Linked DNA regions of Drosophila melanogaster. The protein of the gene in region 1 interacts with the protein of each later gene in a pairwise test. Each region holds a gene or a part of one and is shown on either strand. Other genes may lie near its edges. The genes, in order: CG10462 and Mdr49.

Region 1 (15,694 bases):
CCGAGTTGATTGGCGTAAGACGTCTCATGCGAAACGCCATTCCCACGAGGCACTTAAGTCCCCAGGCACCATCCGATGAAGTGAAGAGAAAGCCGGATCCTCCACTCCCAATCGCAACCTGTTGCATGGCTGACTGTCATCATAATGGAAATGTTAAGCTGCACAAGTTTCCTAGTGGTAAGTAAAGAAACCCAATATAAGACCCATGTAACTTTTATTATTTCTTTTATTAAAGACCCAGCGCTACTTAGGCAGTGGTGCCAGGCACTCAGGCTCACGGATACCCAGAGGTACCGGGGCAAACATATCTGCTCGGTCCACTTGCCCACCGACAGGACGGTCAGCTGCGTCATCTGCGGAGTGGAAAACGCCCAGTTGCCGATGCTGGACTTTCCAGAGCAGCGCAATCAGCGAGCCAAGTGGTGCTACAATCTCAAGATCGAGGCCATACCCAAGTGGGACCACTCCAAGCACATCTGCTGTCGTCACTTTGAGTCGCATTGCTTCCTCCAGCCGGGTGAACTGCGTCCAGGTGCAATACCCACACTGCAGCTGAACCACGACGACACGAATATATTCCTCAGCGACTTCGCCACTAGTCCGACCGGCAATCGGATCAAGGACGAGCCGCTGGACAACGACGACATGCTGCTGGTTTAGTCTACCTACATGAAATCATTTTAGTCTAGTTTTAGCTGTACCATTTTATAGACCTTTTTGTACAACCATTGTACAATGCCACATCACGTCTTCTAGTTTTACCACGTAGTCTCTACCGGTGATTTTAATGCGTTATTAATTCATAAGTGGCTTGTGAAGAAAAGATATGCCATACAAAGAAACAAACACAAAATGTTCCTTAAGTTTTTGTTTTTACTTATTATACATACGTACTTTAACTGTGAGATAAATGTGTTTTAGTTTCCGTAATACTGTCATATATGAACTATAGATAATATATCTATAATATCCTGTAATATCCTTGAGCGTATATGTGTATGTAGACTTGTAGATGGCCCAATATTAGTTGGAGGTTTTCTAAATATACATCATAATGAAACTGAAACTAGCTTACTTCTTCTGGGAGATCCAAACGGAGGTCGTCTTTCCTATATAAACCTAAGCACTATCTAGCACTACATCCGACTCACTGGAATAGGAATGCTTATTCTGAACTTTCTATTGTTTGTTAACGATCCTGATTAAGAATATCTTATAGGGTCGAAAACGATGAATTTTACTTGTAAAATACTCTTCAACGAATGCACTCTACAAGTTAAGTGTATCAAAGAGTGCCTATTCGAAATTGGCGGGCATGTCATCGATAAAAGAAACCAATCGGAAAACGATCAAATAAACAGGATCTGATCTGGCCGGGCAGCCAGCTGCTTTTAATCTTATCGCAATTATATTAAGCATCCTCAAAGCGAAAACAAAACAAGAAGGTAACATTTGGAACTCTCTCAACAACTCAATACAACACCGACCTGTTGTATACCCACTTGTGTGCACCAGGAGAATAGTCAGTTCCGGTTCTTCCGTTTTCTGAGCTATGAGAATACTCTAATCCAGTGGTTAGTAAATACCCAGATGAAGCCAAGTCTGGTTAGCACGAGCTTTGCCTTATTCCAGTTTTACTTTGAACCCAAAGCTGTACAAGAAACTCAGCTTCTGAGGTCGGCGGTGCCAACATTGTTCCTCGGCAACGAGGAGTATTTGATTCCGAAATACATTGAGGAGGAGTATTTGATTCCGAAATACATTGAAATACATTTGGGAACACTACTGCTCTGTACTAAGTTGCTTTCGGAGCAAGGATGAAGGTGTCCTTCTATTTGAATACCCGGACGATTAGGAAATGCGCGGAAAATGGGTACACCGGTGCAGTCATAACCTAAAGCCAATCGAAAGCCAAAGATTCCGGTTGTGCCAGCCCCATTTTTCTATTGACTGCTTCCGCTTGTTTGTGAAATCAATGCCAACTAAAATGTTATTCCATTGCCTGGTGACAGGATGTGTGAAGGATACGGATGCTCCTTTCGGCTTTCATAAACTTTCAAAGGTCCCAGTGGAGCTAGATCCGTGGGCCAAAAACGTATTAATTCCCTATTCTGATCTCCTGCGAGACGATATTCGCGTTTGCCATCGAAACTTCGAGATCTACTGATTTACGAAGGACCTGAGACTCCAACCTGGATCGCTGCCCACATTACTCCTGGGCCACGGCCAAAAAGTCCAGTCTAATCCACCGAGTATTATTCGATCGGATAGTCTGAAGTTTGCATGTATTGTTCCCGGCTGTGGGCGCATTCGGCAAGCTGGTGACAATTCGTTTTCCTCCTTCCCAAAGTCCCAGCAACTGACCAGAAAATGGATACACAACATTGGATTAGAGGCCACCTACAGCAAAGTGCAGACAAGTACGATTTGCCATGACCACTTCGAGGAACAATGTTTTAGGATGTGCCGTGCAGTAAAACGAGTGGAGCCGAGTTGCATGCCAACCCTGAAACTTGGCCACCTCGATCGCGACCTTCACTTGTCCAACTTCAATTACCACAAAAAAAATTATTACAGGATTAGCATTAATAACTTCATTCTTGAATGGTGTTTTCTAAACTGTTTAAAGATGTATAGAACTTGTTACGTACTATGTGTGGATAATCTACGCAAAACCTGGCTGAGCCACACGATGCTGAGTCTTTGGCCTAAAAAGAAGTGAGTTTGATCTTTCGGATTCCGATTCAAGTGACGAGGAGTCTGAAGAGGAGCCGGAAGGAGAAGATCAGTCCTTGGAAGTTTTAGAACTGCACCCTGAACAAGTCGTGCCGTCAGAGCAGAAGAGGTACTGTACATATCGCTGCGCCGTTCGAGGGTGCAAGACCACCTTCGAGGACGTAATCAGAGCTTTTCGTCTACACAAACTTCTCGAAGATGAAGATTACACCAAGATGTGGCTACACAACACAAAAGTAAAAATGGCCAGATAAGACTGGCGCAGCTTTCGCATCTGCAGCCTCCACTTTGATGAGGATTGCTTTGTAGGCTCCAGGGTAAAAACAAAGACACTAGAATAACAAGATGCGTAACGGCCATACATTGGTTTGGCACTATGCAGCCACTTTTTTGGTGACGGCCAAAATTGCTCTCTTTCCGCTCGCTCGCGCTGAGAACGTAAGAAATCTAAAAATAGAATTTGCTTGCTTGTGTGAGTAAAAACAAGAGACGAGAACGCGTATATGTGTGCGTGTTGTGCTAGAAGACGATTTTCGGGCCGAAATCAATTCTGATCTAAGAAATGAATTTACATTGTACATATTAGGGTAGTTTTTTTGCCAATTTCGTAGCAATATGATAAAATAAAATAATTATAAAAAATTCGCGCCCTTGTTATTATAATTTTAAAATTTTAATTTAAATTTTAAAATTTTTTAATTTTAAAGCTTTTTAAATTCGTTTGTTAAAATCGCCGCTCGAATTAGCTACCGTTTACATATTTATATTTATGTTCATAATTATTTATGTGTAATATGTGTAATAATCGGTACCCGGGGAACACCACGGGGAGGCCATTACAATTGTAATGGGGTCTTATATTTACGTATATGACCTTCAAGTCGACTTGAAATATTTTAATGTTTAACATTAACATTTCCATATTCCCCAATTAAGTTATTTTTCTAACTATTGTTTTTTATTATATATTGCTCGATTTTTCAGTCGTCAGTTATTTAAATATTAATATTTAAATAAAATAATATTTATTTATGAGATAGAATGCTGAGCTTAGCTTGCTTTTTTTGTCTATCAGCTATCACAGTCCACTTACAATGCTTAAAAAGCAAAACTTTTATAAGTTTGTTTAAAAGATCTGTTCTATGTGCATAACATTCATTATTTTCATAAAACCATAATGAGAAGGCACTACTTTCATTTGTGCACTTAATGCATTGCTCAATAATACATTTTTTTATACACATTTGTTTTTTATTATTTTTAAAAATATTTTCGAAAGCTTTAATGTGTATTTTGCAAACATTAAAAAATAAATCAGATGGTGCCTTTAATTTCCCGAAGTCCGATTCTATTGAGTAGTTTTTCTCATGTATAAAAAGCTCTGATGGAGCTGTTAAATGCTCGGTTTCTTTTAAAATTACCGATCTGCATTTATCGCAACTGGATCCCTTAGCAATATATCCAACAAAATATCTACTGGAAGTTAATTCAATGGGTACATCATTGCACAAAGTTATCTATATTTTGGTCAAAGTACCTCTCATTGTCTTGCACGATTTTGGAAAATGATACAGAGTATTCTTGTTGCTGTATTTCTTTTTTTCAACGAAAGGCTGATATATTATCGAATCGAACTCTATTGGCAACATAACATCATCTGATTCGCAATTCGACTTTTGTGAAAATTTAAAAATGTGTAGAGATATGAGCTTGGCAATTATTATATTAAATTCGTTAACTGAAGGATTTCTGCAGTTACCACCTTTTGCTCGAACGCACGCAAATATATTTTCAAGGGCATCCTGGTTTAATCTACTAGTTAAAAAGAAAAAGTGGTCTGTGTGATCCTTAAAGAGATCTTCGAGGAGTCCAAATATAGCTTCAGTAGTTTGGATCAAGCCATCAACACAATATATTTTATTCCCGTGATATTTAACGCTCTTTAGGTATTCCTGCATTTCCTTTAGTTTGTTCCAAACTCCATTGTTAACTTGGAGCGCGAATTTCATGGGGTTTTTGTCAGTTAATACTCTGCTATTCAGGCAATCAAAGTAATCATTAACTTTTTGGACAAATGCAGCCGTAGAAGCTGCAACTTCGGAACTATTTCGATGTAATTGCTTGTTTTGGTTACAAGTCTTAATTGCCGCTGCAACAGTGTGGCTAAGTGTTTGAGTTGCCAAACATACGCGCATTAGATCAAATCTGGTTGGATTAACGTGACTCCTTGTTAATTTAGTCATTCTCGTTACTGATCCATGATCTAATTCGTAAACCTCTCGAATGACATCAAAGTCAACTAGTCCGTCAGGGGTTTCAAAATTAGCTCTTAGAAAATTATTCCTTACAGACTTGAAAAGATGCGGAATGTCATAAAACATATAATATTTTTTATTATTTAAGGTAAAGTAAGATTTCTCATTGGTGACTTTAAGTAATGAGGTACATTTTCTATTGTTACCTCCTTGATCGTACACAACACCCCTTACTTTGAACCCAATTGTTTCAGCAATAATAATATTTTTATAAATAAGACTTTTTAAGCAATCGCCTTTTATATTCGTTTCGGCCACAAAATAGTTTAATATAAATTTCCATTTTTTTTAAATACCCCGAACAACAAATACGCAAATATGGCTTAGGATTTTATTAGAGCGATCAAGTAAATGCTCTATTCCATCTATTATATCAACTGACACATTGTAAGTTAGGTTTTTTTTATCGCTACTTCATCACAAGCCAATATGCACTCTTTATCAGATGCATTCATTTCTTTTATAGATTCTTTAAGGGCTGAGTACAAACATTCGTTGTCTCCTGGCTGTAACTTTTTTATGCTGTTCCACTTTTGCAAAGATGATGGACTTGGAAAATTTAATTTCAGCGAGTCTCTTAAGAACGTATATGTCGAAGTGGACCTGTAATATATGCTCTGAGCAAACAATTTTTTTTTCCATCTTGTATTTGTGCCCTTTTTTCCTTAAAAAGCATTTTCGTTAATATTTTTTCATTTCCTGTTAAATTAATTTTATCTATTTCAGAATATATGTTTTTTTCGGTCTTAGATTCCAACCTAACTTATTTTTTTTTTAGGTTTGAGTTTTCTTTCCTCAGCATTTTAATTCTAAACTGTCTCTCTAATTTGTCTTTGTAAAATAAATAAAAATATGAAAACTGTTTATTGCAAAAGTCACATCAAAGACACTAGAATTATTCTAGTGTCTTTGTTTTGGTCATATCTTGAGGCACGAAGTGCGGACACAAGCACTCAACAATCATTGCCTTATTAATTTTTCACACGCCGCAAGCTGAATACTCTAATGACAAATATTCTAATATAAAGTAATTTTTGAAATTTATTTTGTTATGATATGTACATGGATTTGGCTATTTCTAATCTGTTTTCAAATAATAATAACGTTAAGGCAATGCAAACAAGAATTTTTCGCATGATGCCAATTGATCAAAAATAATATAGATTTAAAGTCTAAGAACTTCTACGGTGAAGGGCATATTTTGTCAAATTTACAATGCATGAGCATACGTGTGCACACATAAAGTTGTCTGTTATCACTGTATGCGTAGAAAAGAGCTGTTCGCTGTAGCGCTCTTCGCTCTCTCGCTCTCTAACAAAAATTCCAGAGAGCCTGGAGCCACCTCTAGAGCCACGGCAAAAAAATCGTGTGCCAAAAAATCGTATGGCGTTACGCATCTTGTTATTCTAGTGTCTTTGGTAAAAAGGTGGGCAGTGCCATCGCTTCGCTTGAGAAGGGCGCCCTTGGGATCGAAAACGCTCCACTCGTAATTTACGAAAGTGAGTGGATAGCCAAGAAGAGAAAGCCTCCGTCCCGGTTTCCTAGGGCAGTGAAGGATACCGGCTAGGATAATATAATTTTTAGCAGATTGCTTGTATTACTTTCTATTACTTATGTAAGTATGTGAATGTCGTTCCTTGTCAGCTACAGCTACGGAAAATGATCTACAATTAAGATAACTCGTAAAATGTTTTTAATATTTCACAATATTAGCCCTTACCAACAACAAATCTAGTTTTTATATTAATGTTTACTAAATAAACATATTTATTTTATATAAGAGTATCAGTAATTTGGCTTAATGGGCCCGCGATACATAAATTCATGTTTGCTACCAGTACCAAGACCTAAATATTGAATTTGACTATGTATCGGGAGAGTAAAAATGGATTTATGCATATAAAATCTGTGGTTACAATTAAAATAAAATCATATATCATATATACAAAATAAAAAATTAAATAATCAGAAAGAATAGTAATGATAATATTAACTTAAATAGTCAATCAAGGTGTACTGTTAGGATTAAACAAAACACTTTGAATTAGACAAATATTTCCTTAATGTCAAAAGAACCTTAACTAACAGGGTAAGTAAGAAAGGGGTTACTGTTTCCCCGCATCGTTTGCGGAGGACCCATCTTCGTTGTGCGGATAACTGGCGTCCAGAAAGAGATTACGATCCGATTTGTTCGACTGCAATGGGTTACTTGGTTATTAACTGCTGTGCATAGCGTAATCTCACTGACCTCTCGGTACTTTTGCAGGTAAATGGACAGTGGTTCCACGTAATTGTCGAATCCCAGATTGCTGAACGCCACCAGCAGGTCGTCCCCGTTGACTGTCTTGCGATTCTCCGCGACGCTACGTTCGATGGCCTCACTGCTAATGAAGGATATGAACTCGGAGACACACTCCTGGATGCACTCTCGTGCATCCTTGGCTATCTTGCCGTTCTGGGGCACCGGAACCTTCATGATCTTAATGATGTTGCAGATGGGCAGAAATCGGTCCTGTTCGCGTAGCATTATCCCTCCATCCTGTTTGTCCGAATCGTCTGCGGGGGTGAAAAATCAAAGTCAAGCAACAAAACACGCGGTTGTGGATGGTCTTTTGTTTACCGCCGGACGCCTCGTCCTCCTCCTTGACCAGCATGTCGTTCAGATACTGCTGCGAGTCCTCGCTATTGCTCATATCTTGGATTTTTAACAGATTTCTTCAACGGATTTGCTTTTGTTTACTTTCCCAAATTGCGAGGGCTATCGTCAATCGATAACCACCCCAAGTGGTGAAGGCTGACCGCTCCACCCGATAATTGCGCCACTTGATCTGGCAACGCCGCGCCTATCGATAGTCGTCTTCTGATCGCAGCGGTATACAGCGGTATTTATTGCGCTGCTGCTCTCTTCTTTATATTGATAGTTGTTGATCTGATATCCTCTGATCAGAACGGAATTCTCGCGAATTTGGCGCTGGCCAAGGGGGAAATTGACATGGAGGACATCAAGATCAAGATGGAGCCGCAGGACGAAGTGACGGACAGTTCAATCAGAATTCTGAGCGGTAAGCTTGCATGCTCTCCTCCCACATGCGTGTGTGTGAGTGCTGCTGGGCGCCGTAGTGTTGGTGTCTCTGCTATTCTATTACGCACTTTACCGTTAACTTTTAATTCTTTCTAAATTCGGCCAATTTATAGCATGTGATACGCTGAAAATTTTGGACGAGGGATCTCAAATGATAACAGTGCCGATCAGGGATCGTTTGCGTTCCGAGGACGAGCGCCTATTTATCGCCAGCCTGGAACTCGGCCACCAACAGGTAAAAAATATACATGTACATAACCTAAAAAAGCACAAGGGTCGCGTGGTAGCGTGGAGATTCCGTTACGGGATCTAAATATTAATCGAAAGGAAGACATAACTGTCATAAATCTAAACATATATATTAAACATTTTGTCATAATTTTACAAAGTATCATATTTAGGCTGCATAATAAATGTAAATATATGTAATCATAATTATCTATCTAAATTCAAGCTACATGTATATGTACGATTTTTGCTAACGCATTAATACAAAATTTAATCAGCTAATACTTACACCCCCAGATATTTGCGTCTGAATCGGAGGACAACCCAAATCCAAAACATTGCGATATTTGCCAGTACAAGTTTAAAAGCCAACAGGATATATCAAGTCACCGGGTTCATCACGAAATGAACCTACATTTTTGTCGCCTGGGCTGTGGTATCTGGCTGGACACGCTTGAAAAGATCCTTGAGCATGAATATCGCCAGCATTTCCAGCCAGGGCGTGTGTTGTGCTGTAGGGTGAGCTCATCTGCATTTAACTTTTATACACACATTGATTAAACAGTGAACGTTTTAGGTTTGCGATTTTATGGCCAATAGCGCGGACGATCTGGCCAGCCATATGCAAAAGCACATTTACGTATATCGCTTTGTTTGCTCCATTTGTCGTCGGCATTTTGAGTCCAAACAGAGCCTCAATCTGCATAGGAAGCAGAGCCAGGACTTTTGCAGCCTGCTGGATTTCAGAAAGGGGTCATCATCAAAGCCGGAACTTGTGGCAGTTAGTACGCCGGTACCTGAAGAGTCGAATTGCTATGTGCAAATAAAAGAAGAGCCACTTAACGCAGAGGAAGCAGACCGAATGCTATTGGAAGACAACCCTCCACTCAATGTAAAATTGGAACCACAGGACGAGGAAATGCCAGATGTGAGTAGGATTAAGGAGGAACAGTCAAATGGTAGCGTCTGGACAGCCATACATACTCCGTTGAGGAATAAACTGCGCCTGCCTGCTCTGGCCACTACCAAAAATCAGATGCACTTAAAACGTAAGTTCTTTGCAATTAATAACAAAAGTAGTTACATAATTATTACTACCTTCTCAGCAGGTGTTAAGCGAAATGGACTACTAACGTCTAATGTGGAATCTCTTAACAAGAAATCCAATCACTCAGTGATATCCGATGATGCGAATATTCCGATTTCCAACCAAGAACCTTCAAATTCCTCAATTGCAGCCAATATACTGAAAGTGTTACCTAGTAACTGCATGGTCATCAAGTTGCCTCCCAACACAAAAATTTTTAAGACGCCAGGTCAAGCTCCGGCTGCCCCTAAGGACTCTCCCACCGTAACTCTGAGTGGTACGGAGAATTCAACCAATTTCATAAAGATTCCGAAGACGATAAGTATAAGTACTGTCGGTTCCATGGGTAATCCTCATGCGTCTGCTAAGACTGTGCAACCAACCCAAACTCACAGTCGATCATCGTGCTTTCTTGTCGACTCGTTTAACAATTCCAAGAGCAGACCCGAATCCATGAAGATAATCAATGAATTTCGTAATCAAATTCGGTCCATAGAGAAGACATTGCCACTGCCGGGAACAGTGCTACAATCCTCGAAAGTAACGATGGATGAATCAACGTCGTCTCCCATGGATGCACCCAAACCCGTAGAACTGATGCTCAACCCGTCGGCTTTAATGGTGGCCAGGGAACTGGAGATCCAATACCCGCTATATCGATTTATGTGGACTTGTCCGCTATGCCAGCGAATGTTTGAGAAGCATTGCGCATTTCGTGCGCATCTGACTAACAAGCACGACTTAACCGATGAAAAGTGTAACGTCCTTAAAGTGGTTTTAATGCCTTCTAAAAGTAAGTAAACTAAAATTTTGAACGTGCTCGTTTTAATTGCCCTTGCAGTACTTTCACAGGACTCAGCAAATGCTGCAACTCAAAGAGTGCATGTGCCATTGAATCCACAAACGCCTGTGCCTCCTCCAGAACTACCCAATACTGTTAATTTGCCTTTATTGCTAAGTAAAACGTCTGCTCCATTAACAGGCCAGACATCAGCACTATCCAATGTGCCTGTTAACAAAGGTTTATCCCCGACAAGTATAAATATAGAAAAACCAAAGGTCTCCAAGAAGCCCAAAAAAAATCAGTCGTTCCAGTGCACCGAATGCTTAAAAGTGTTTACTACTTTTGGAGCCTTGCGCATTCACAAGTCCATACACACGGGGGAACTGCCTTACCAGTGCAGCTACTGTGACAAACGTTTCCGAACTCCTGGACAAGTGCGGGTACACCACCGTCGTCACACCGGAGAGAAACCATTTAAGTGCAAGGTGAGAAGGTATAAGAATTGAGCCTATGCTTACCTTAGCGAAATTAGACATTTGTTAATTGATTTATTGCAATTTTCTGTTTCCCCTTTGCAGATATGCTCGTTAGACTTTACTCACCGGGAAACTTTAATTTCCCATCTATCACGGCATATTGGGATGAAGCGGTATAAATGCTACGGATGCGATAAATACTTTGTAGTTGTCAGCGGCTTACGAGCTCATCGTCGTCTCCGGCCAGACACCTGTGGGAAGGTTAAGTTCACCGCTCGAGCCCATGGTCCCCGCGTGCGGGTCATCAGGGGAGAGGTGGTGTTCCAGTATCACCCAGAGCACAACGGCTACTTACGCAGTGAGGACCCGCTCAACATTTTGTCCCAACGTGATCAAACCAACTCAACCCCGCCAGAAACTGCAATAGGTAAGTCGTTATCAGTGAGTTGTTTATTTATTTTATGAAATATTGTCTTTTTTAAACTGGCTCATAAGATACAGGAAATGCGATTAGGAACTAGAAAGGAACATTGCAGGATGGTATTGAAAATTCGCTATAAAGTCTGGAGAGGTATTCCCACGGAATAGTGCAGGAAAGGGTCTGGCTACTCATTGTATTAAGATTCAAATGAATTAATTAATAATGGCAATTACTTTTGAAATACATTCTATTCAAATGTGGACGTGTATGTTGACCGTGAAGGAAGATGGCTATGTTTATTGTTAGCTTGAATACCAAACGAGACCATCATTGTAAGGAATATGGATATGGACGTGACAAAGTATTTGGCGGCACCACAGGGCTCACAGACTCATCATAGTTGGCTCGTAAAATCTTACTTGGAAAGCACTACCCCACCAGCCGATTGACCAGAGATTGCTCCCTCTGATTACAATTTTTCCTCATGATGGCTCATGGCTTGGCAGGCTTCTTCGTCTATGATGTATTCAAAAATGGATCTGTTAATGGATTCGTCAGAAAGACAAAAATAAAAAAAAAACAAAAGTAGTGGCTAGCGATAAAGAAAATACTTTGTAATGATGTAAAAGTATAAAATAAACTACCATCAAATACCTTTTGAAGGGTAAATTAAAGGCTCTAAACGGTTTTTATTTTCGTCTTTTATTATTTTTCATCATTCAGTTTGCAGTTTTTTGAAAATGATATATTATTTGCATGGTATTTTTAAACATAATATGACATTCTTACCCATACTTTAATGCGAAATACATACGCTCTTCTGTTTGCTTGATTAGTATAATCATTATATTGTTTGCTTGTTTGTGTATCGTATGACCTTTAAAATTGTTTTATCTTTCTATTTCGTAAAACATACAAAACAATTAATTATCTTAACAAAACTTGACAAGCCGGCAGATTGTGTAATATACAATATAATCGTACATTTCAATTTATGTATATGTTACGTGTAATACGATTGCAACTCTCTGCGGGGGTACCATTATCTAGACATCTATTTTTGCTAGCGCTATAGTTTAATTTAGTATCTCTCGGTTTATTCCAAATACGCCCAGCCGTCCAACATCGTCTCAAAATTTACTACTTCCTAACACTTCCGATCCAATTGGCAGGGGCAACATGCTAGAGTAGTTATAACAAATACCTTTATTTCGTATAAATATTTAGTTTACATATGACTATGGTTGTTTAACATGTGTTTCAGCTAATAATTTAGTGTTTGCTTTTAAGCATTTGCTTGCTAACTCTTTATATATTTATGTATAGTTACGAGGCCGAATTCAAACGTTTTGCAAAACAGCTTATCAGTTATATACATTATTATGTACCTTAAGAACTATTGCCAATGTCTCGATTTTATGTTTATGTTTATTTATAACCGCGTGTGTCGCTCTATTTTATGGTAAAAATTATATGCTACAGTACATATCTACAGTTATCATTCTAATCTGTTCGCTCGGTTATTCTCTATGTCTTCATACACCTTAGGTACAATAACTTTTCATAGCTTTTCAATCTAAATTACACATACATAAGTGGCTAGCTCGGGTATCGACTGTGGTATATACAGGAATGTACTAGGGAACTGAATAGAAGTCGAGGGAATGAGGTTGAAGTTAAAATAGCTGCTTGGCTGGAAGTTGCGTATGTGATCTATCATAATGGTCTTTGAAATTTGAACTGTCTGTTAGCTACCAAGACATCGATCAGTCCATAAGGTTCGTCATCTTTTGCGGGGAGATCAAAACGTAAGTTGTGTTTGAAAACTAATTTTAGAATCTAGCTGCCTTATAAAATATGCGCTATGCAAGACTTTTGACTAATTGCACGGACCGTTTATACTGGTTTCCATTAACCAAGGCATGAAAACTGATTAACATAGCAGTGTTTGATTGATTGTATTATATATTATAATAGCGTCTGGAGTTTGCGCCAAATCGCCAGAAGTTTTCGATTTACTTAAAATGGCTTCTACTTTCGACCCTTTGCTTCCGTTCGAGATTCGATTTAGGCGGTAAGACTAATAGCTACCAAGTCCTTAGTTCAAATATGTATCGGTTTCCAGTGGCGCCCCTCATTCATGGTCACTCCGGCGGCAGTACCACGAACAACAACAAGTTGATTGACATCCTTCTCCATTAGCGAGCAAATCTTGATGCACATACTCGTACATAGAAGTGCATGTGGGTTGATATATAAGGTTTTGATAATTAAACGTGTAACAGTCTTCTTTAGTTTACATTATCAATAAAATAGAACGCAATATATAAGATCGAGTCCCCCAAAGAATCGTAATGGTAACATAACCTGCGGGCGGGGGTGCGCTTATCAACTAAACATATCCACGTATATAAGTATAGGTGTATTAAGTAAGTGTGGGCAGTAGCTGGCTATAATACTTTAGAGTTATGATATCCGTGTATATCGTAAATGCGTATTATGCGTAGAGTTCGAAATAAGTATGCAACGAACGCAGGGTCGATGAGATTTTAGCTCTGTGGACCTGGCAATCCCATTGAGAAATGCACTCAGTTTGTATAATTGTCGAATGAGCCCAAGTACTCCAGTGCAGCGCGATAGCAGAAGTGGTATTGATCCTATGGGAGTTAAAAAAGTGAATGAATCCACTTTCCTTCATCGGTTTAGAAGCCAGTGCAATACCCACCTCGGTTTGTACCATAGCCGGACGCTGGGATCGCAGTATGCGCACTGTCTGGAAGACGTCCAGTACTCCCTCGTACTGCATTCGTTCCAGAACGATGCTCAGAGTGATAAAGACACCCGAACGTCCCACGCCCGCCGAACAGTGCACGGTAATGGGTCCATCCTGGCCAAACTGCTCCTTGGTCTTGTGCACCTGTCCGATGAAGTCGATGAAGCCCTCGCCCGACTTGGGCACACCCTGCTCCGGCCAATCGATGAACTGGAACTGGCGGACGGTGCGCGATGAGCCATCTCGGGCATCCGTGACCTAGTTTCATTGAGGTAAATTAAATTAGTTTCATGTTGTAAGCCAATCAAGTCAAGTGAATGGTGCTCACCTTAAATTCACGCAGCTTATACTGCGGCATGTTGTACTCAGCAATGGGATCCACGACATAATACTGATAGCGTACGGATCGCTCATGAGGCCAGTACTGGAAGCACTTTTCCTGTGGGAATGTATTGGTTAATGGATATGAATAATCACTGTATTATGGTGCAAGGGGGGAGCTTACCCTTCCCATTTCCTTGAGCTTGGTCAGCATGACCACAATGGTGGAGTTGTGCTCCCAGAGCATGCGCCAAAAGTCCTCAGCGGCATCCTGGACAGGACCCTGTGCGGCGATGTATGCGGAACGGTAACGATAGCCGTCGATGAAGCTGGCGTTGACATAGTCGCTTCCCTCGATTCCATGGATGGGGGTCAGGTAGACGCGACTTGACTCGTACGGCAGAATGTGGACCAGGCGATTCTTGTGCTTGTTGCACGGCAGATTGGCCGTTACGAACTTGGACGAGTCCATCTTGACGTTAGACAGCTTCTTGAACTCCACCTCCATGCCCGAGATGGTCTCGCCGGGCTCCGTGATCAATAGTTTCTGTAGGTGGGTGTGTAGATTGCGAGCCGGCACCTCCGTCACCCCACAGATGATGGCCTCCAGGATGGCGTCATGAATGAAGATGTACTGATCCTCCGTCTGCACCATGTAGTTCCGTTGCGCCCGTAAACAAGTAACATGCCCATAGATGTCGATAATCTTCTCGTGCTTCATTCGTTCCAACATTGAATCGATTACGATATAACAGCCAGTGCGACCAACTCCCGCAGAGCAGTGAACAATCACGGGTCCGGATTCCGGTGGCGTGAGGGCGCGACACCGGCGCAAGAACTGAAGGAAGGGCGCCGGATGATCGGGCACTCCATGATCTGGCCAGGCTGTGAACTGCAGCTGCTTGATCTCACGCCGATCGTTAAAGCCCTGCCGGCACAACTGGAAGGTGCGGATGCTGTAGGTGGCCAGTTCCTGTGTCTCCGTGATGGTAACAAAGATCTGACCATAGGTTTCCGTTCCGCGAGTGGGCCAATACTGATCGCACTTTATGCGCGTTCGTTCCTCCAATCGCGTCATCATCACAATGGTTGCCGTCTTCAGTTCCCAACACATGCGCCAGAAGTCGACAAAGGTCTCCTGCAACGGACCTTGGGTCGCCACGTAGGCATTGTGCTTCCGATAGCCGTCACAGTAATTGGCATTGATGTAATCTGATCCAACCACACCCTCCACCGCTGGCAACTGGACGCGTGAATGATCGTAGGCGGTAACATTTGCATAGCGATTCTTAGACTTGTTATGCTCCAGATTGGAGTTGTCCCAGGTGAACTGTTGGCCCGGCTCAATGCTTTCGTATTCCTGCGAAAACTTCTGATTGTCATTGGACTTGAGTCGTTCGATGTGGTTGGCAAACTCGGATATCGGTATGGGCGGATGGGAGATCATGCCGGGTGTCTGGAAGTTCAAGCG
Region 2 (17,184 bases), on another chromosome or scaffold:
TGTGTGAATTGGGGGACGAGGCGTTCGTTGGCATCGATTGTTCGGCGGCAGACTGGAAGCATTTCAGGCAATTGCCCATAGTGCGGGCGTGCTTGGTGCACCACCAGGTCCTACTCCTCCCCCGTGCTCCGCCTGCAGTTGCTTGCTTAACGGGAGCACTCGATGGCTTCCAGTTTCGTTTTGGCTGAGACACTGTGATTTGTCAAGGGGCGTGCAATTGCAATTGAGGTCTGCTGGTCGTATAGCTTCTGGGAAATTTATTAACTATGCATTGGCACTGCGATTCCCTCCTCTGGCATATGGTAGTGGCTATTCCGATTCCGATTCCAAGTACGTCCTGTGCGAGTACAAACAAGTACGATTCCGATTCCGATTCTTTGTTGTCACTGCGATTGCTGTTGTTATTTTGGTGCCTCCTACGCAAACGCACACTCACGCGTATACACATACATGTGCAGGTTGCAACTGCAGCATTTGGTGCCACCAAATCGCGCTCGTCTCTCTCTATTGATGGTTTTCATTCACATTTTCAGTTCACCGTGCTCCAGCGCGTGTTTAACTACAATTTTTTACAATATTTTTAATTTGATTTATCTCGCTTTTTCACTTGTCTTGTTTTTTTCTGGCAATCGGACCAGGGCGGCACTAGTCAACCAGGGCTGCAGTGCTCTACGTTAGTTGATGCGATAGTCGTAGCAACTTCAGTCTGGCAACACCCTATCGTCGAAGAGAGTCACAGTAGGACATACAAGTTGATTCCGCACAGTAGTTCACACCTTAAATATTTTCGTACAAATTATTCTATATTCAAATACGATTATTGAACCAATACGTTCAATACAATGTTTTTATTAATTTATATTCTTTATATTACTTTATTGGTTAAGAAATTTAAAACAAAACATTAGCATACATAATTTTTCCCATTAAAATATTTAGTTGCCGTCTAAGCAGCATCTATCATTTTCTCGACCACTGTGCGTAATGTGAGCGCCGAGTTTGAGCAAAGCTAACAATTTCATTCAACAACATGCAGTCGGAGCGGTAGAAAGTGCTTCCGGGTAACGGCTTTCGGAACGTGCATATTCTACCGATCGCAGATGAAAACTTTCGGTTCGTTTGGCTAAAAAGAAAAGTGTCAAGCTGCCCGGAGTGGGAAAATCCAATTTGAAATCCTGCATTTGAAAAGTCGTCTTGAACCGGGACAACTAACTGGTAATAAGTGAGTGTGTGTACCCGTGGTAAATAAGTAAATGGTTGACTGTCTCGATTTTCGGTTGTTTTGGGCAATTCGAAAACCAGCCAACAAGGTTGAGTGAACTTGGTAGTTGGTCGTTGGTATGTAAGCCAAACTCCGTCGTGCGCAGTAAATGGGTAATGTTTTCTTGTGTGCGTGTGTCGTGGGCCTGTGATTCTTCGCGGCGGCTACACTTTTCTTTTTCTTTTTTGGATTATTAATTCGAAACGTGTGAACGTTAGTACAAGTGCTGGGAAAAAGGGCAATATGCTTAGGCTTAGGAATTTGGCTCATCTTCGGGCTTATTTTAATTGGCCAGCCCCACACAATAAGCACATTAAAAAGTGGAGTAAGACAAGAAGTACGAAAACCCCGTCTACATTTGGTACCAGTAACACCAAAACGGAAATCAGTCGATCTGATACATACATTGTACATATGTATATGCATATATAGGGATCCAAACCTAACATCACCACATCTAAAATGAGAAAACCGTAAACTAAAATGATTTATATCTTTTTTTACTCTAAATATAACAATACACACACCGTTCCAATCATTAAGTATACATTATTTCAGCGCTGAGCGGAAGATTCTTGGGTATGTTGAGCATATTTTCGAAGTAGCTGGACAGCTCTTCGAAATTAACTTCGTCGGGGCTTTGAGTCGGAGCTTCTGTGCCTCCATTAGAGAAAATATCATCACATTGACAGGTCAGGTAGACTGTATCGGGATCCGTTGGGATCGATTTAGCCAGATCCTGTAGTTTGTCCACCCTTGGGACCGTCAAGTTTATGGCGTTTCCGTAACCACAAATATTTTCACACTCGCTCATCATGGTTTTAAGATCGTAGGCATTGCCAGAAACCTTTCCAGTCGCAATCTTTGCCCAATTAGATTCCTTCTCTTCGTCGGTGTCTCGAATTTTGTGAGCCCAATCCACTCCTTCGGCACGAATTCTTTTAAAGGGATGTTCAATTATTGACTTTCGAAGAAGAAACTTTTGCTTCAGTGTATGCTTCGGAATTCGTAGATCTTCGAATTTGTTGGAATCCAAAGTTGCCTCTATTGCAGATTTATCGAAAGTTGTTGCTTCGATTGGATTGTCAGATATTATCATCTTACGCAGCTCGGAGGAGATTTTTTCTATAGACATGCTTTTTAATTGTAAAGAATTGTTGGCGCTTATGTGTGTGACCTAATTTTGAGAATCTTGAGATGTGTGATGGAAAGGAATGGCAAGTATAATGAACAGCCTACTCATCTCGCCTTGGATTCCTTTCAGATCGATTCAAGAATTTCCATCGCCAACCTGATTGAAAGATAACACAGACGAATATGTCATCGGATCGGTTTCACAAGTGGGTACATGCAATTAATTTGACTCTATCTTATCACCAATGGTGATGCACAAGAGACTCATTAACTTTCTGGTACAATCGTTTCCGTTTAGAGCCGCCAAAGATGGGCTGTTGGATGTGTTGGCAGCAGCCACACGGAAGGATACGAATGCCAAGGACAGTGATTCCATGACGCCGGTCATGTGGGCTGCCTTCGAGGGGCGTCTGGATGCACTGCGTCTGCTGTGCGGAAGGGGGTACGCATTCGTTTAAATGATAATTCTATATCCACTGAAGATAATCCTTTCCTCTCCCTTCAGTGGTGACCCTGACAAATGCGATCAGTTCGGAAACACAGCCTTGCACTTGGCCTCCGCCAAGGGTCATTTGCATTGCGTCGACTTCTTGGTGAAATTCGGAGTAAACATCTATGCCTTGGATATCGATAAGCACAGCGCCAAGGATCTGGCGGCTATTAATGGCAGGGACGAGATCCTGCGCTACTTGGATGTTGCCTTCACAAACTTTGAGGCCACTGAAAAGTAAGTTTATGAAATATCTGCCACTTGCTTGCATTTTTGTTTGCATAATTTATTTTTTGTATATATTAAAACTAATACTTCAACTAACAGAAAAAAAAGCAAGGCCCTGAAAGAATTGGCCGAGAAAAACTGCGAGAAACGTGTTAGGGAGTACATGAAGCGCCAGAATCAGCAGCAACAGCGCCAGGATCCGGAGTATTCGGATCTAAGCGCACCCAGTGGCTCCAGCAAGACCGGCAACATGCTGTCCACTCTGAAGCAGAAGATCTGGTCCAGCCAGGGCAATCTAAATAAGACACCAAGGGATACACCGCCTCCCACAAAGTTCAGCGATCTGGTTGGGAACGGTAGCAGCAGCAGCGGTGGCTCCACAATAGCCAGTCGAGCGGGAACGGTGCAAAAGAGACCGTCGCAGCTCCAAAAGCAGCACAGCAGCACATGTCCACACTCGAAGATATCCAGCGACACAGACGGTGGCTTCAAGGTGCGCGAGGTGGAGCCAGATGGAAAGCGAACCATTACATCGCTTACGGGTCTGCAGAGAGACTCCGAGGTGCTGTATGTGGGCACCTTTAGTTCCAACGAGGACAGTGTCGGCAAGCGCGGCAAGATCAGCGATGTTTTTGAGTGCATGGAGGCCGATGAGTTGGACCACAGCGATAACCGCAGTGGCTATAGCTCTACTTTAGCGCGTTCCTTCTCCCAACCGGATATTCTGGGGGATGGTCAGTTGACCCAGGAACTAAGCGAGGAAGTGACCCTCCAGAGACCCGTTGGACTCTTCGATAGACCCACCATGCTGGGCAGCATTGCCTTTCGTCGATCCGTAACTGCTGCTTTAAGTCAGCTTCAACTGCACACGGACACCAGTTCCACTTCCACGATGCGGAATGCGGGCAGCAATCCTCCAAAGACACGAAATGGCGGAGGAAAGGGTCGTTTATATTTGAACCTTTCGGATGATACGGACTCGGAGGGCGGCGGTCATGACATCTATAGCGATGATGACGACGACGACCGAGATGCCGGAGGAAGTGCCTTGCAGCGATTCCTGGCCGTTTGGGCCCTGGAAGAATACCTGCCAGTGTGAGTAACAAAACCAAATTTGTCTGGAATGTATGTGTATTCAACTCGTATCCTCCTTTACCATTTCAGATTTCAGAAGCAAGAGATCGACTTGGAGACTCTGATGCTGCTCACAGAATCGGACCTTAAGTCACTTGGCTTGCCACTGGGGCCATTCCGTAAACTCACCTTCGCCATTCAGGAGAGACGTAACGCCCTGGCCAATCCCGGACCCCTGGTAGACAGTCGACTGTAGTAGTTGGCCTAATCATTCTATTTTTTTTGTAATACTTCAACATGTTCAATTAGCCTAGTGTACATACTAAATTAAAGCCTAACAATTATCACTCCAGTTCGCTGTGTTAGCCCGACACCTGTTGCATCAGATAGAGATTGGCGTAGATTTTGTTCAGTGCCATCAACTCATCGTGGGTGCCGTGCTCCACTACCACGCCGCGTTTTAGCACACAGATGAGATCCGCATTCCGCACGGTGGTCAGACGATGCGCAATCGTCAGGCATGTGCGGCCTGATCTCGCCTCATCCAGCGCCTGTTGCACCACCTTCTCGCTCTCCAAGTCCAGCGCAGAGGTGGCCTCGTCCAGGATGAGTATCTTCGGGTTTCTAACCAGGGCTCGAGCGATGGCGATGCGCTGCTTCTGACCTCCAGAGAGCTGCGATGTCTTGCCCAGTCGGGTGTCGTAGCCTTGGGGCAAAGCACTTATAAAGTTGTGGATATTCGACTTCTTGGCCGCCTCAATAATCTCCTGCATGGACACATCGTCACGGAAATTGTTGCCATAAGCTATGTTCTCGGCAATGGTGCGATCGAAGAGCACGGGTTCCTGCGAGACCAGGCCCAGCTTGGAGCGCAGTGTGTCCAACGGGAATTCCGTGCTCGGCACTCCGCTCAGATTCACGGATCCCGATACGGGATCGTAGTAGCGAAGCAGCAGTTGCACGCAGGTGGACTTGCCGGAACCAGATGGACCCACCAGAGCAACCGTCGTCGATTTCTTGATGGTGAGATTTAGGCCCTGCAGAATGGGAGTGCCCTTCCTGGTGGGATATTCGAAGCCCACGTTTTCATAGACAATGTCTCCCTCGGATTTCTAAAAAAAAACAATCAAATTTGAGTTTCCAACATAATGTACGGTTTCGATTGGCGAAATGTTGACTTACCTCAACTGTATTGTAGGGACTCTGTGGCGGATTGGGCTGCGTTGAGGTGCGCTTGAAGAGATCCATTAGGCGTCCGGCGGACAGAATAGCATCGTTTACATTTGGCGCGTAGGCCAGGGCCTGTCCCAACATCCAGGAGCCAAAGATCAGAGCCTCGGCCACCTTGATGATGTCCTCATAGTTCATTCGCTCCTCTGCCACCAGAATACCACCATAGTACATGGAGATGCCGTAAGCCAGGAAAGGAGCCGCCTGTCCCAAAGCGAAAACCAGACCACGGAAGCGAACCTTACGCCTGCAGGCGATATCCACGCGATCGATCTGCTGAACGTATTGATCCAAGACCTGGCGCTCTAGGCAAAGACCATTGACCGTTCGGATATTGGTAATAGCTTCGACTGCCACTTGAGAAGCCTCCTCGATCGACGCCTTAGCCTTCTGGGCGCTCTTCATGATAAAACGGCCCTCCAAGTAGACGGACAAACAGACCAGGGGCAGGGTGACCAGTGTGAGGAGCGTCTGTTGCCAGGAGAAAACGAAACCGACGACCATTCCAACCACAAGAGTGGCCACGGCCTGGAGCATTGTGCCCACACGAGCTCCGGTTGCCTGGAATAAGGAAAAAGCGTTAGATATTTAAACATATATAGTAAAAAGCAGTAGCTTGGAATAGCAGTGCTTCTGCATGGTTACCCTCAATCTTGAAACTTACACCCTGAACGTTGGAACAATCGCTGGCCAGCCGGGAGCACAGTGCTCCCACTGAATTTCGCTCGTCATCGAAGTAGGCAATATCCTGACCAATAATCGTTCCAAAAGCCCTTTTACGCAATCGCGTTGTCATCTTCACGCCGGCCGTTGTGAACATGTAGGTCTGGAGCATGTTGCCCAATCCGGCCATCAAGCCAATGCCCACAAAGATCATGGAGATTTTCAGGACCTCGGCTCGCACAACGTCATCGTCACCGTCCGAGAGGATTCCAAAGAAGTCGCCAAAGAAGAGACCCCAAAGCGGGAATGTGGCGCCATGCATTACGGATGCAATGCCTCCGACGACAATGAAACGCCACTCCGGAGAATTAAGCTTCATTAGTTGAGTGAAGGACACCTTGGATACCACTTCCTTGTCCTTCTTCTTCTTGCGACGCTGCGAGCGACCTGTTAATTATTTGAATTGGATTTTAAAGTTAATATATATAATATAGTGCACGATTTTATAGAACTTTTAATTTTGCATTTGTTTTTATTACTTATTTTCTTTACTTAATATCGAATTTAAGTCTTGGTACTTGGGTTAGTAAAAGCATTAAATATTCCAACTTCTGGTACTTACGCTTGCGTCGCGTGCTGGCTCTGAATCCGCTGTCCCTGGAGCTGCCCGAAGTCTGCAGCTCCGGCTCTTCGTCCTCCTCTTCATCTTCCTCGTCATCATCGGTTTCCTCGTCAGACAGGTTCTGCGACTTCTGCAGAGGTCGCCCGGCAACCGCTCCCTCGTCCGCCTCCGTGGCCTCCTTCCGCTGGGTGATGCTCACCAGTTCGCAGTAGAGACCACGTCGCTCCATGAGCTCCTCGTGCGTACCCTGCTCCGCCACTACACCGTCCTTGAGGAAGACAATCTTGTCGGCATTGGTGATGGTGGACAGTCGGTGGGCCACAACTAGAGTGGTTGGTCCCTGGCTGGCCAGTTCTAGGGCACTTTGCACCCGCTTCTCAGAGGTGGGATCCAGGGCAGAGGTGGCCTCGTCGAGAAGAAGCACTTGGGGCTGTCGAACCAAAGCCCGGGCAATGGCAATCCGCTGCTTCTGGCCACCAGAAATCTGAGCGCCCTTCTCGCCCACCTGGGTGTCGTAGCCCTTGGGTAGGCGAGTGATGAAATCATGACAGTTGGCCGCTCGCGCCGCCTTCTCTATATCCGCCTGAGTGGCCGATGGTCTTCCGTATCGGATATTCTCGCCAATGGTGGTGGCGAAGAGAACCGGTTCCTGGCCCACCACTCCGATCTGCGAACGCAACCAGCCCACATTCAGTGTTCGAAGATCCCGTCCATCCAGTTTGACACTGCCCGCTTCGGGGTCGTAGAACCGCTGCATCAGTTGGATGAGGGTGCTCTTGCCACACCCAGATGCGCCCACGAAGGCCACCGTCTGACCCGGAAGCACATCGACGGTCAGACCCTTGAGGATCTCCACATCCGGACGGGCGGGGTAACGGAAGCGTATGCCCTCGAAACGAATGTGTCCAGCGGTATTCTCCGGCCTGTTTCCCTTCTCGTCCATTGGATCCACCTGCGACGGACGATCGATGATGTTGAACAGGGTCTGGCCAGCTGCCGTGGCCACAGCAATGGCTTCCACGTGTGGAGAGGCAAAACCGAGATTCTGGGCACCCATGATCACGGCGAACAGGACAATGACCAGAACGGCCGGAGTATAAACGCGATCGGGAAGATCACGCTCGTCCAGAATGAGCGTCACACCATACCAGATGGCAAGAGCCATGCACAGGTAGATGATCAGCCAGGACAGTGCGTTTCCCATGCCCGAGTATAGACCCTTCTTGCGACCCGTATTCTCTGCGGGAATGAGCAGCTTGCCAAAGCGTTCCTTTTCCTTCTCCTGACCACTGAATGCGAACACTGTGCGAATTCCACTGAATACCTCCTCGACCACGTTGGCTGCATCGGAGTAGGACTTCAGCTCCTTCTCGGCCAGCGATCCCTGGAGTCGAGCCACCACACTGGTGGCTGCAATGATGAAGGGCACACAACTCAGAACGACCAGGGTGAGCTTCCATCCGTAGACGAAAGCAGACACTATTCCAATCACAAAGGTCATGATCAGGAATACCACAATCACTATTTTCTCGCCAATGCCTTCCTTCAGTTTGTCCAGGTCTCTGCAAATTCCAAAGAAAAAAATCGAGGAGTTATAAAAATACTCTAAAGTCTTTAGAATTTAATTCTAGAATTAAAAGGAATTTGAATAAATACATTGTAAAATTCGCACAAAAAAAGTTCACGTCACTGGCATGAGATATTTAATTTATTTAAAAACTTTCAGGTGGCTTCCTAAAATTGTCTGGGAATCGCGATAGTGATAAATTGTTTCAATCATATTTAAACCATATTGATGTTAATAAGTCCGATTGCTACTATGATTGCGTAATTTTCTAGCTCTGCTAATGAATATTCAATTGATATGGTTTTTATAATTTGTTTAATGCAATAAGATTCGGATTATACGCTTATTAATAATTATATTATTTGAGACGAAACTCACTCTGTCATTTTGCTGGCGAAGTTGGAGCCCGAACTGGTGTCGTACCAGGCGATGTCCTGTCGCAGCATTGCCTCCAGGAAGAGCTTTCGGATGCGATCGATTTGGTTGAGGGCTATCCGGTTGGCCAAGTCGATGGCCAGTGTGATGAGCAGGAACATGGCCACAGATCCCACCAGACTGCCAATGCCAAAGGCAGTCGCATCATCAATGATCGCCTGGTTGTTCTCCTCTTTGCTGGCATTTGTCCTGAACGAAAATTTGACGTTATAACATAATCCTGGACTATCTTATGATTAAGAACTTACAATTGCTGACCGCCACCAAACATGGGCAGAGCAAAGGCTGGCGAGGATGTGCCCACGCCGACTGTTCGGTCCACGAGCAGGGATGTGAACTCTCCGTAGATAATCATGAAGTAGGGAATAAATGCGGACGCAGCGGTGGCCACCAGCAGACTGACTACCAACAGGAAGCGCTCGCATCTGGTTGAGTATCTGAACTATAGAGGCGAGACCAAAAAGGATATAGAACCTATAACGATGCTGATGCGGAGTCACCACTCACCAGATCAAAGTAACTGTACTTTCGGGTCGCATCCACGACTGATCCTTCCTTAAGCTGAAAGTCACCAGCTTGTGGCAGCCGTGATTCCTCCTTCTTGACCATTGTGTCTATGAGGCGATACTGCAGTAAAGTATCTCTATACTCGCTATAGCAATTAAGCCTAAGAACAAAGTTAACAATTAGTAAACACAACATTTTGTGTGCTGGCCTGATATCTAAGCTCTAAATTGGGGTCTATAATTTAGAGTGTATCAATTAAAGAACTTAACCACGAGAACCACAAACACACCCAGTTGCTCTCGCTTTTTATCTGCAAACTCGACTATAAAAGCCTAATTACTATCTTCTTAATTCTAATTCACAAAAAGAGTTCAGTGCTCTTAAGGCAAACATGTTATCCCAGGAAAGTTACTGGGGAGATTAACAAAAGTATGATTGAATTTTAAAAAATATTTCAACTCTTCAAAGAATTCAGGCTCAGATTTAACATAATGTTATGAAATAAATTTCTAGAACTTTATCTTCTTGCATTGCCACTATTTTATAATAATAGTTTGACATTCGTTTTTTCTTAACAAGAAATACTTGCACTTTTCTTGCACTTAATTAAATGGAAATCAATGTATCTCAACATCTTGGAAACACGTAATTATAATACCATTAAAATAACTAATGTTGATAAAAATGGTAGCAATTATGACGCTTAAGTGTGTGATAATTAATGTATCTTTACGTGTTACATAAAATATATTGTAGAAATTATTCGACGCAGAGCAAAGGGCTGATTAATCAGCAAAAACAATTTTCCCAAGTCAATTTAAGGAAATTAGCTCGATTGCGCGAATGAAAAACAAGCGTACATAAATTAATAAATTAAGCGCAATTGGAAAGCGAGATATTTGTGTGTTGATTGCGATTGTCAATTGCGAACGGCTTGCACTCAAGATCCAAGGAACTGGGTATAATAGCCCACTCCTCAGCTACTCAGATTCGATTCAATCTTATTCACTTGTCGACGAAACGCACTCATCGAATGCATCGAGAAACTGAATCAATTAATGGAAATTCACTTGCGCTACATGGCACTTACTTAGCACGTGCCGATCTTCCGTGGACACTTGGCAAACTGATGAAACTCGCGATCGTCTGAAGACTTTATATATGTATATATATACATATATCTATATTTCCTCTGGCTCTATTGGCACTGGGAAGTGCTCAAGAAGACGTCTGCAGCCGACGAGTGCGCGATCTGAACTGGACTAACACAAAATCGAATGGTTGCGACGACAGCTCGGTGCCAGAATCTCGGCTCTCGGTTCTCGAGCGGCAACAAAGTCGATCGTATAACTAATCGGGATTCCCGCCTGGCAACCCGCCTGTTCCTCGCACTCGTCCAGGCGGCGGGAAATACTGGTTCCTAGTCGCTGGTCCTGTAACCAAAACAGAGCCATAAAGACGATGCAGATTAGATTGATTAGACAGTTATGTTGTACGTACATACCATCGATTCGGCGTAAGTTTGTTATCAGTCTCTCGTAACCGGTATTTGTTTACTGACCCAGCGTGTCCATAGATGCAGTGGAGTCGGGTCTTTTTTGGCCAAAACAAAAACGGACTAAGCGTAATCCATTTGCGCGCATGGTTTTCCCCGCGCAAAAGATTTTAAGCTGAATTCGCCAGATCGGGGGACTAACCGAGAGGAAATCTGTATCTGTATCGCGTGCGAAAGTCATGATTCATACCGCCGCTCAGGTGTGCCGTGAAATACCTGGATGCTTAAGCGTGGTAGCGGCATTCTTACGCTGCCCAGCGGCGACTTCCCCAATCCAAATATATCACACTACTTGGTGTGATAAAATACAAATAATGTTGTTTTCAGATTTTGAGATATCGTGGGGCATGGTAAACTTCTTTTGCAATGGTTTGTCGGTATTTCACCATTTCAGTTGAAAAGTATTTCAAAGAGGGTAGTGTCTCCAAGCAAAACGATTTGGAAAACAAAAAATTTCCAAAGGGATCTCATCTGCAATCTAATCGACAGTTGTAAGCACTCGAATTGCCCATAACGGCACTAAAATAAAATATATGTATATACGTGTGCTATCAAAATGTTATTTAGCAAGTCAGATAAGCCGAATTGTGGCCAATTTAGACAAGGTTAGTCCAATAGATAATTGCGGCCAGGTATGGTGTTTTCAACCATTTGGCATCATATGGCGAAATTATTTTGGAAGGCGTTTAAAATCGTTTCCATTCAAATGTTCTCTTGGTTACGGACCTAGTCCAATGCGACTATGTTATCTACGGCAAACCAGATTAGTGTTCTAAAAATTCGTTCATATTTATAGACGTGGGATAGAACTTGAACAAAGGTGTATATCAAATATTGGCGAAAGTATTTGTTGATTTACTCAGTGGCGAGTTGCTTATTTTCACAATCTTTGATCTGACTTTTGGGTTCATTTTTTAATATTTAATGAGCTTCCATTACTTCGTATCAACAATGCATTTTTGGTCTGACAATATATATTTCTGTTAAAATTACATTAATTATGTTAATGGGTTTCGAAGTAATAAGTTTAATAAAGAACTGAAATTTGTTTAATTTAAAAAATTAATTGCTTAAAGTGCATATCATTAAAAAAACACATTAAAAGCGTGAAAATATTAAAATATGTAGAATGTGAGTTTAAATTCAAGTTTAAATATTCAAGTTTTTCTGACGGTGTATTTCCAGAGTGCGCATTATGACGCATTCGCTCATATTTACTCTTACCTGTTTCGCCTTTCTCTTTCTTCTCTTTCATCTTGTGCGCCGAGTTGACGTCGAAAAACCAGAATCGTTTAAGAAATCTTGTGTTGGCCAATAACGGATAGTTGTGGGAAATGCCAGATTTGTCTAATCGTTAAAACCCGTGTGGGTTCAAGGAGGTTTTCAAGCATATGGGGTTCTTTGCTAAGCTGGGAATACAGCGTTTTTAATTCCGCACATTAAGCCAAGTTTACTATTCTACGTGATACAATATTATTTTGACCTTAAACTCTCGTGCCCGCAAATCGTTTACTTACCATCTTCTAATTGTAATTTCTATGTTAAGGCGGAAGAACTTTGTTCTTTACGATTTTGTTCAAGCGTTTATGGAAATGTTAAAGAGTCTTTGTTTGTCATAGTATAATTACTAACTTATTTTACACGTGGTAGAACCGACGTAATAAGAAACCCAAACCATAACAAATGATTAAATCCAAAGGCGTCATTAAATAAATAAAACATTTATTACACAACGAACTTTAAAAGTGTGTCAATATAATTAGTGCATAAGTATCTTAACTAGTAAATAAACATGTCGGTTAAATATAATGTGTGTAGAGGTAGTTTCACATTTTGCATTTGGCTTAGATGCATTTAATATTGAGTGCGTATATAAATATAGGTAATTAATAATTAAAATGTAGTTTTTCACAATATACAAAGATATGCCTGGAATAATTTATAGGAACAAAAAATTTGTTTATGGGTTTTCATGGCCTAGCTGCTCTCGGATTTTCCAGATTAAATATGTCTTCAGTAAACCAGGCGGATGGCCTGCTGTCCGTGGTAAATATCGCTCCTAACAAGAACTTCATAGTTGCTCAGACGGATCTCTTGGCCACCGAATGGGATCTGGAGGCATCGGTTGTAGGTCTCAATTACACCGGGTGTCAAGCTGCCGCAGTAGTGACCCCGTCCAATGTAGAGTGGTGCTCCGCCAGGTGTCGTTCCGGCCACAACTGCTCCAGGTGGAACGTTTCCGCCGTAGGATGGCACCCAGTGGTATTTGCCCTTGCCCACCAGCATTTGGTACGATGGCTCAATGATTTCACGACCCCCGTGGGCTATGTAGCCACATCCCTGGCTGGGAATGGCCTTGCCAGGAACATGGACACCACGGTAGTAGGCCCGGCAAACCAGCAATTGCTCCATGTTGCTGTCATGACCTCCAATCACGGCATCGGGAGAGTAATAATAGCCCGGTTCGGCTGATACCCAAACGTCATAGTTGTTGCCATAGCCGTAGGCGTCATATGCCGAAGGAGCAGCACACTCGGCCGGAGTGTAGGACGAGCATCCCGCCTCGTAGGGATTATAGGTGGAAGCGGGTGTAAACGATGGTGCCACGGGAACGGATACTGCGGTCACCTCTGCGGGAACAAATGATGGCGGTGGCGCCACCTCAGCTGGAGTGAACGATGGAGGAGGAGGTGGCATGACCAACACACCACCTGCAGGCGGTGGTGGTGGTGGTGGTCGTGGCATGACCAGCACTCCTCCCGCCGGCGGTGGTGGGGTTGGACTCGGCATCACCATCACACCTCCAACGGGTGGCATGGGATCCGGAGTGGGTGTGTAGGCCGGAGGCCTGTCAGGAAATGGCATCGCAGCCAAATCCGGATATGGATATGGTTTGGCCGGCAGTGGCGGCGCCATTGCCGGTGGAGAAGGTGGTGGCGGCGGCGATAGTGGACACTTTTCCGGCTCCTCTAGTGGAGGAGGTGGTGGCGGCAGCTGCCAGCCAGGAACCACTCTGCGCTCCTCCACCAAAATCTCATAGGAATCCAGACGACGTTCGGCACCGCGAAAAGCGATGAACAAAGCTCGATGGACAGAGGAGATTTTGCCGATAATCAGATGACCCTCATAATGACCACGACCAATGTAAACCGGCTGATCCAGCGATGTGCGTCCACAGAGTACAGCATTCTCCGGAATCACATGATCGTAGCACTTGATCCACACCAGATTCTGACCGCACAGCACCTCGAAGATGTCCTTGGGCAGTGCCTCTCCTCGCTGCGAAATGAATCCCAGTTGCTTGCTCGGCACCACCTTGCAGACCAACATATCGCCCTCGTGCTCCGCCCTGCCCACGTATATCATGGCGCCGTCCTCATCGTTGCCGCCCACCACTGCCTCCTCGGGAAGGGAGGAGTAGGCCGAGGATTGAACCCACTTGTAGGCTGAAAGAAAGATGCATTTTGTTATTTGCTTATTCAGAAGTGATTAGTTTATCATAAAGGACTAACCAATAATATGCTATTTCATCTATAGACATGCAAAAAAATGATGTAGTAATTTTAAATTTCTTTAAAAGTAAATAATGTGGAAGAAAGGTAGAATATAAGGAAATGACCTTCATAGCAAGCCACTATCGTAGCTCATAAATTTTGTAAAACCTGTCTAATCCGACAGTCCATTTTGGCCATATCAGTATAATACATTTGCAGGGATAAGTATTTTAAAAATAGAAGGAACACAAAATGCCCACAGATTTCTTCCGGTATTAACAATCAGTTTATTTGGCTGCGATAACAGTTTGATCTAGACTAAATGCATATGGTATCTGTAGTGTTCCGTTCCTTTAGCTTATTGTCTGCAGAGAATCTCGTACGAGTTGATGCGAATCTCCCGACCTCCGTACGGAATATAGAGGCAACGCTGGCTGGCCGAGATCAGACCCGGTGTCAAACTGCCCTGGTAGTGTCCTCGCCCATAGTACAGCAGCTCTCCATTGCGAGCACGACCCGTGGTTACGGCGTTTGGTGGAATGCTGTGGCCGCAATTCATCCATACATATCCGTAGCCAGTGAGCACCTCGTAGCTGGGCTTCTGGAATTCGTATCCGCCGAAGCAAACGTAGGCGGTTCCCTTGCTCGGCACCACCTTGGCAGGCAGCATTTCACCCTCGTGCATTGCCCTTCCGGCGTAAATGGGAGTACGGTCGGAGTCGTGTCCGGCGATCACTGCGCCCGGAGGAGTGTAACTGGGCGAGGCCGGTACCCAGACGTCGTGCTGCTGCTTGATGAGCACCTCGTAGGTGTTGATGCGCACCTCCTGGCCGCCAAATGGAATGTATAGGCAGCCGTGCGATGGATGAACTTTGCCCACAGTCAAGCTTCCGGCATGATGTCCGCGTCCCACATAGAGCGGCTCGCCCGTTCGCGTCGTTCCGCTCCTCACCGCATTCGGTGGCACTCCACCGCTGGAACTGGGCACCCAGGCAAATCCCTGACCCACCAGCACCTCGTAGTGCGTCTTCGTGTGCTCCGCACCACCGTAGGCCACATAGGCGCATCCCTTGCTCGGTACGACCTTGGCGGGAAGATTCTCGCCTTCGTGAAAGGATCGACCCACATAGATGGGCGTGCGGTCCGAGTCATGGCCACCGATAACCGCGTATGGGGGCAGGGGGCTGTATGGAGACGAGTGCACCCAGGTGTTGTCTGCAAGGAGAAAGGCAGTAGGGCGATAAGTTTGATACCACGCGATAAGATAACCTATCTGTACACAGAGCGAAAACCGGAGAGTAAGTTTCGTGTCCTTTCCATTGGAAATATCTTAAAACTCTACTTGATTGATTTAAATCACTGTTATATTAATATTGTCTTGATAGATATTATATATTGTTATTAAAAAAAAAAAGATTAAGATTTACTAACTTCGTACTTTTTCAAAAGGTAAACATTTATCATCCCGAAGCTGCATTATTAAATGGATACGGTTTTGATTAAAAATTAAGTACAATGTACAATATAATGATTCACTCTATACTCATACTCTCATAGCTTTTTCTCCGTGTACATATTTGGCTTGCTGTACGGTTTTGCGGGTTTGGGTGGTTTTGGGTGGCCTAGGTGGTCTGGGGGCGGGGATCAAATGGGATTTGGGGTTTCACAGAGGCGTAGGGGTTTCACCCTGGGCTCACTGCACTCGTCCTACCAACGGTCACAACTCCTCCTGGCTGCACGGCGCCTGGAAAGAGCAAAGAAAGGCGGAGAACTGTAGAAGTCACTCAATGCTCTTTGCTTTTCTTCCGGCTAATGTGCACAGAGAAAAAAATCGCAATACCAACAGAATTGGTCAGCACTTGCGGATTTCTTCGCCCGTAATTGGGAAATTGAATTTAATTAAGCTAATATGCAACAATATATTTTTTGATTTTGATGATCTTGAAGGTAAATTACACTTATTTCATTAGACTTTGGCATTGCAAAATCATTTTTTTTTTTTTGGTTGCACTTATCAGAGGTTACTCATTCTACTTACCCATTGTGCGTTAATTGTTGATAAGTTATTCCTATGAAAAATAGTTTCTTTTATTCACTTGCGTTCTTCTGACTCCAAAATGCGTCTGAACTGACCAAAGTTTGTCTTTTCACTAAACTATTGGTTTGCAAAAGCCTGACGTTTAAAAACCGAACCAGAGCGATTCGTCACTGCTTCTTATCGGCGAGCTTTTATCTTTCAATTCGCATTTGTACATATATAAAAAAAGAAGTGCAGTTGATATTGGGACCTTTGCTATCACTAATTTTAACTTCCAGTCTCGAAAGCTCCATTTCCAGAAAAGCATTCCATTTATCGATCGAAAATGAATCATTGGCCCAAACAGGCGGTACTTTTGGGAGTAAAAGAAAAAAACAAGTAAATCGAAGCATGTGGACATTGTTTTAAATGTTATTGTTGTGCCCTCTCAACAGGTGGAACCCCAATTAAATAGACCCATAAACAATATGACGCCTGCCAGAAGCGCCCATGCTCAAAAAATCCCCCCCGTTGAAGGGGCGATAAGCATGTCGAAAATTTGTACTTTTAATAGAAAAAGGATCATTCATTTTGAATTATTTTTTACCTACTGAAATATTAAAAATAATCTTTAAACCTTTAGTGTAATGTATGTGCTTATTTTATCTCTTTTAATTAATAATTTCTTTGTAATAACAAACAAACTGATTTCAAAGGACATATGTATGTATGCATTTATGTAAGGCATAAAAGGCATTAAAAAGTATAAATATACATATGTGACTCAGCGGTAACGATATCAATAACTTTATATCGCAATTGACTCATCTTTAGACCAAACAAGTGTCTGTAACTTTACAACAGTTACAGTTAGTTTTCCAAAGGTTTCTCAATTATTAGGTTTATG

Evidence for each region.
Region 2: the proteins of CG10462 (region 1) and Mdr49 interact in a two-hybrid assay, tested with the Drosophila melanogaster proteins (one large-scale study listed by BioGRID).

The regions. Positions count from the first base shown.
Region 1 is NT_033779.5:19,728,186-19,743,879, reverse strand, and holds CG10462 (uncharacterized protein), read left to right. Parts: upstream 1-7,899; 5' UTR 7,900-8,043; coding exon 8,044-8,113; exon of another isoform or gene 8,114-8,246; coding exon 8,247-8,368; intron 8,369-8,658; coding exon 8,659-8,880; intron 8,881-8,938; coding exon 8,939-9,410; intron 9,411-9,467; coding exon 9,468-10,241; intron 10,242-10,289; coding exon 10,290-10,717; intron 10,718-10,810; coding exon 10,811-11,135; intron 11,136-11,203; coding exon 11,204-11,229; 3' UTR 11,230-11,800; downstream 11,801-15,694. Other genes in the region: CG10631 (uncharacterized protein), read left to right, coding at 1-177, 236-660; Nf-YB (nuclear factor Y-box B), read right to left, coding at 7,157-7,246, 7,300-7,607, 7,672-7,744; Lar (Leukocyte-antigen-related-like), read right to left, coding at 13,718-13,786, 13,855-14,160, 14,231-14,341, 14,408-15,694.
Region 2 is NT_033778.4:12,935,875-12,953,058, forward strand, and holds Mdr49 (multi drug resistance 49), read right to left. Parts: upstream 10,474-17,184; 5' UTR 10,302-10,473; intron 9,372-10,301; 5' UTR 9,314-9,371; coding exon 9,212-9,313; intron 9,147-9,211; coding exon 8,953-9,146; intron 8,894-8,952; coding exon 8,648-8,893; intron 8,515-8,647; exon of another isoform or gene 8,359-8,514; intron 8,265-8,358; coding exon 6,703-8,264; intron 6,528-6,702; coding exon 6,082-6,527; intron 5,979-6,081; coding exon 5,370-5,978; intron 5,300-5,369; coding exon 4,550-5,299; 3' UTR 4,449-4,549; downstream 1-4,448. Other genes in the region: SCCRO3 (squamous cell carcinoma-related oncogene 3), read right to left, coding at 1-79; CG30487 (uncharacterized protein), read right to left, coding at 1,800-2,396; Sans (scaffold protein containing ankyrin repeats and SAM domain), read left to right, coding at 2,579-2,601, 2,694-2,837, 2,901-3,122, 3,213-4,208, 4,278-4,443; CG44251 (uncharacterized protein), read right to left, coding at 12,780-14,212, 16,299-16,302; CG44250 (uncharacterized protein), read right to left, coding at 14,619-15,475, 15,972-16,004, 16,299-16,302.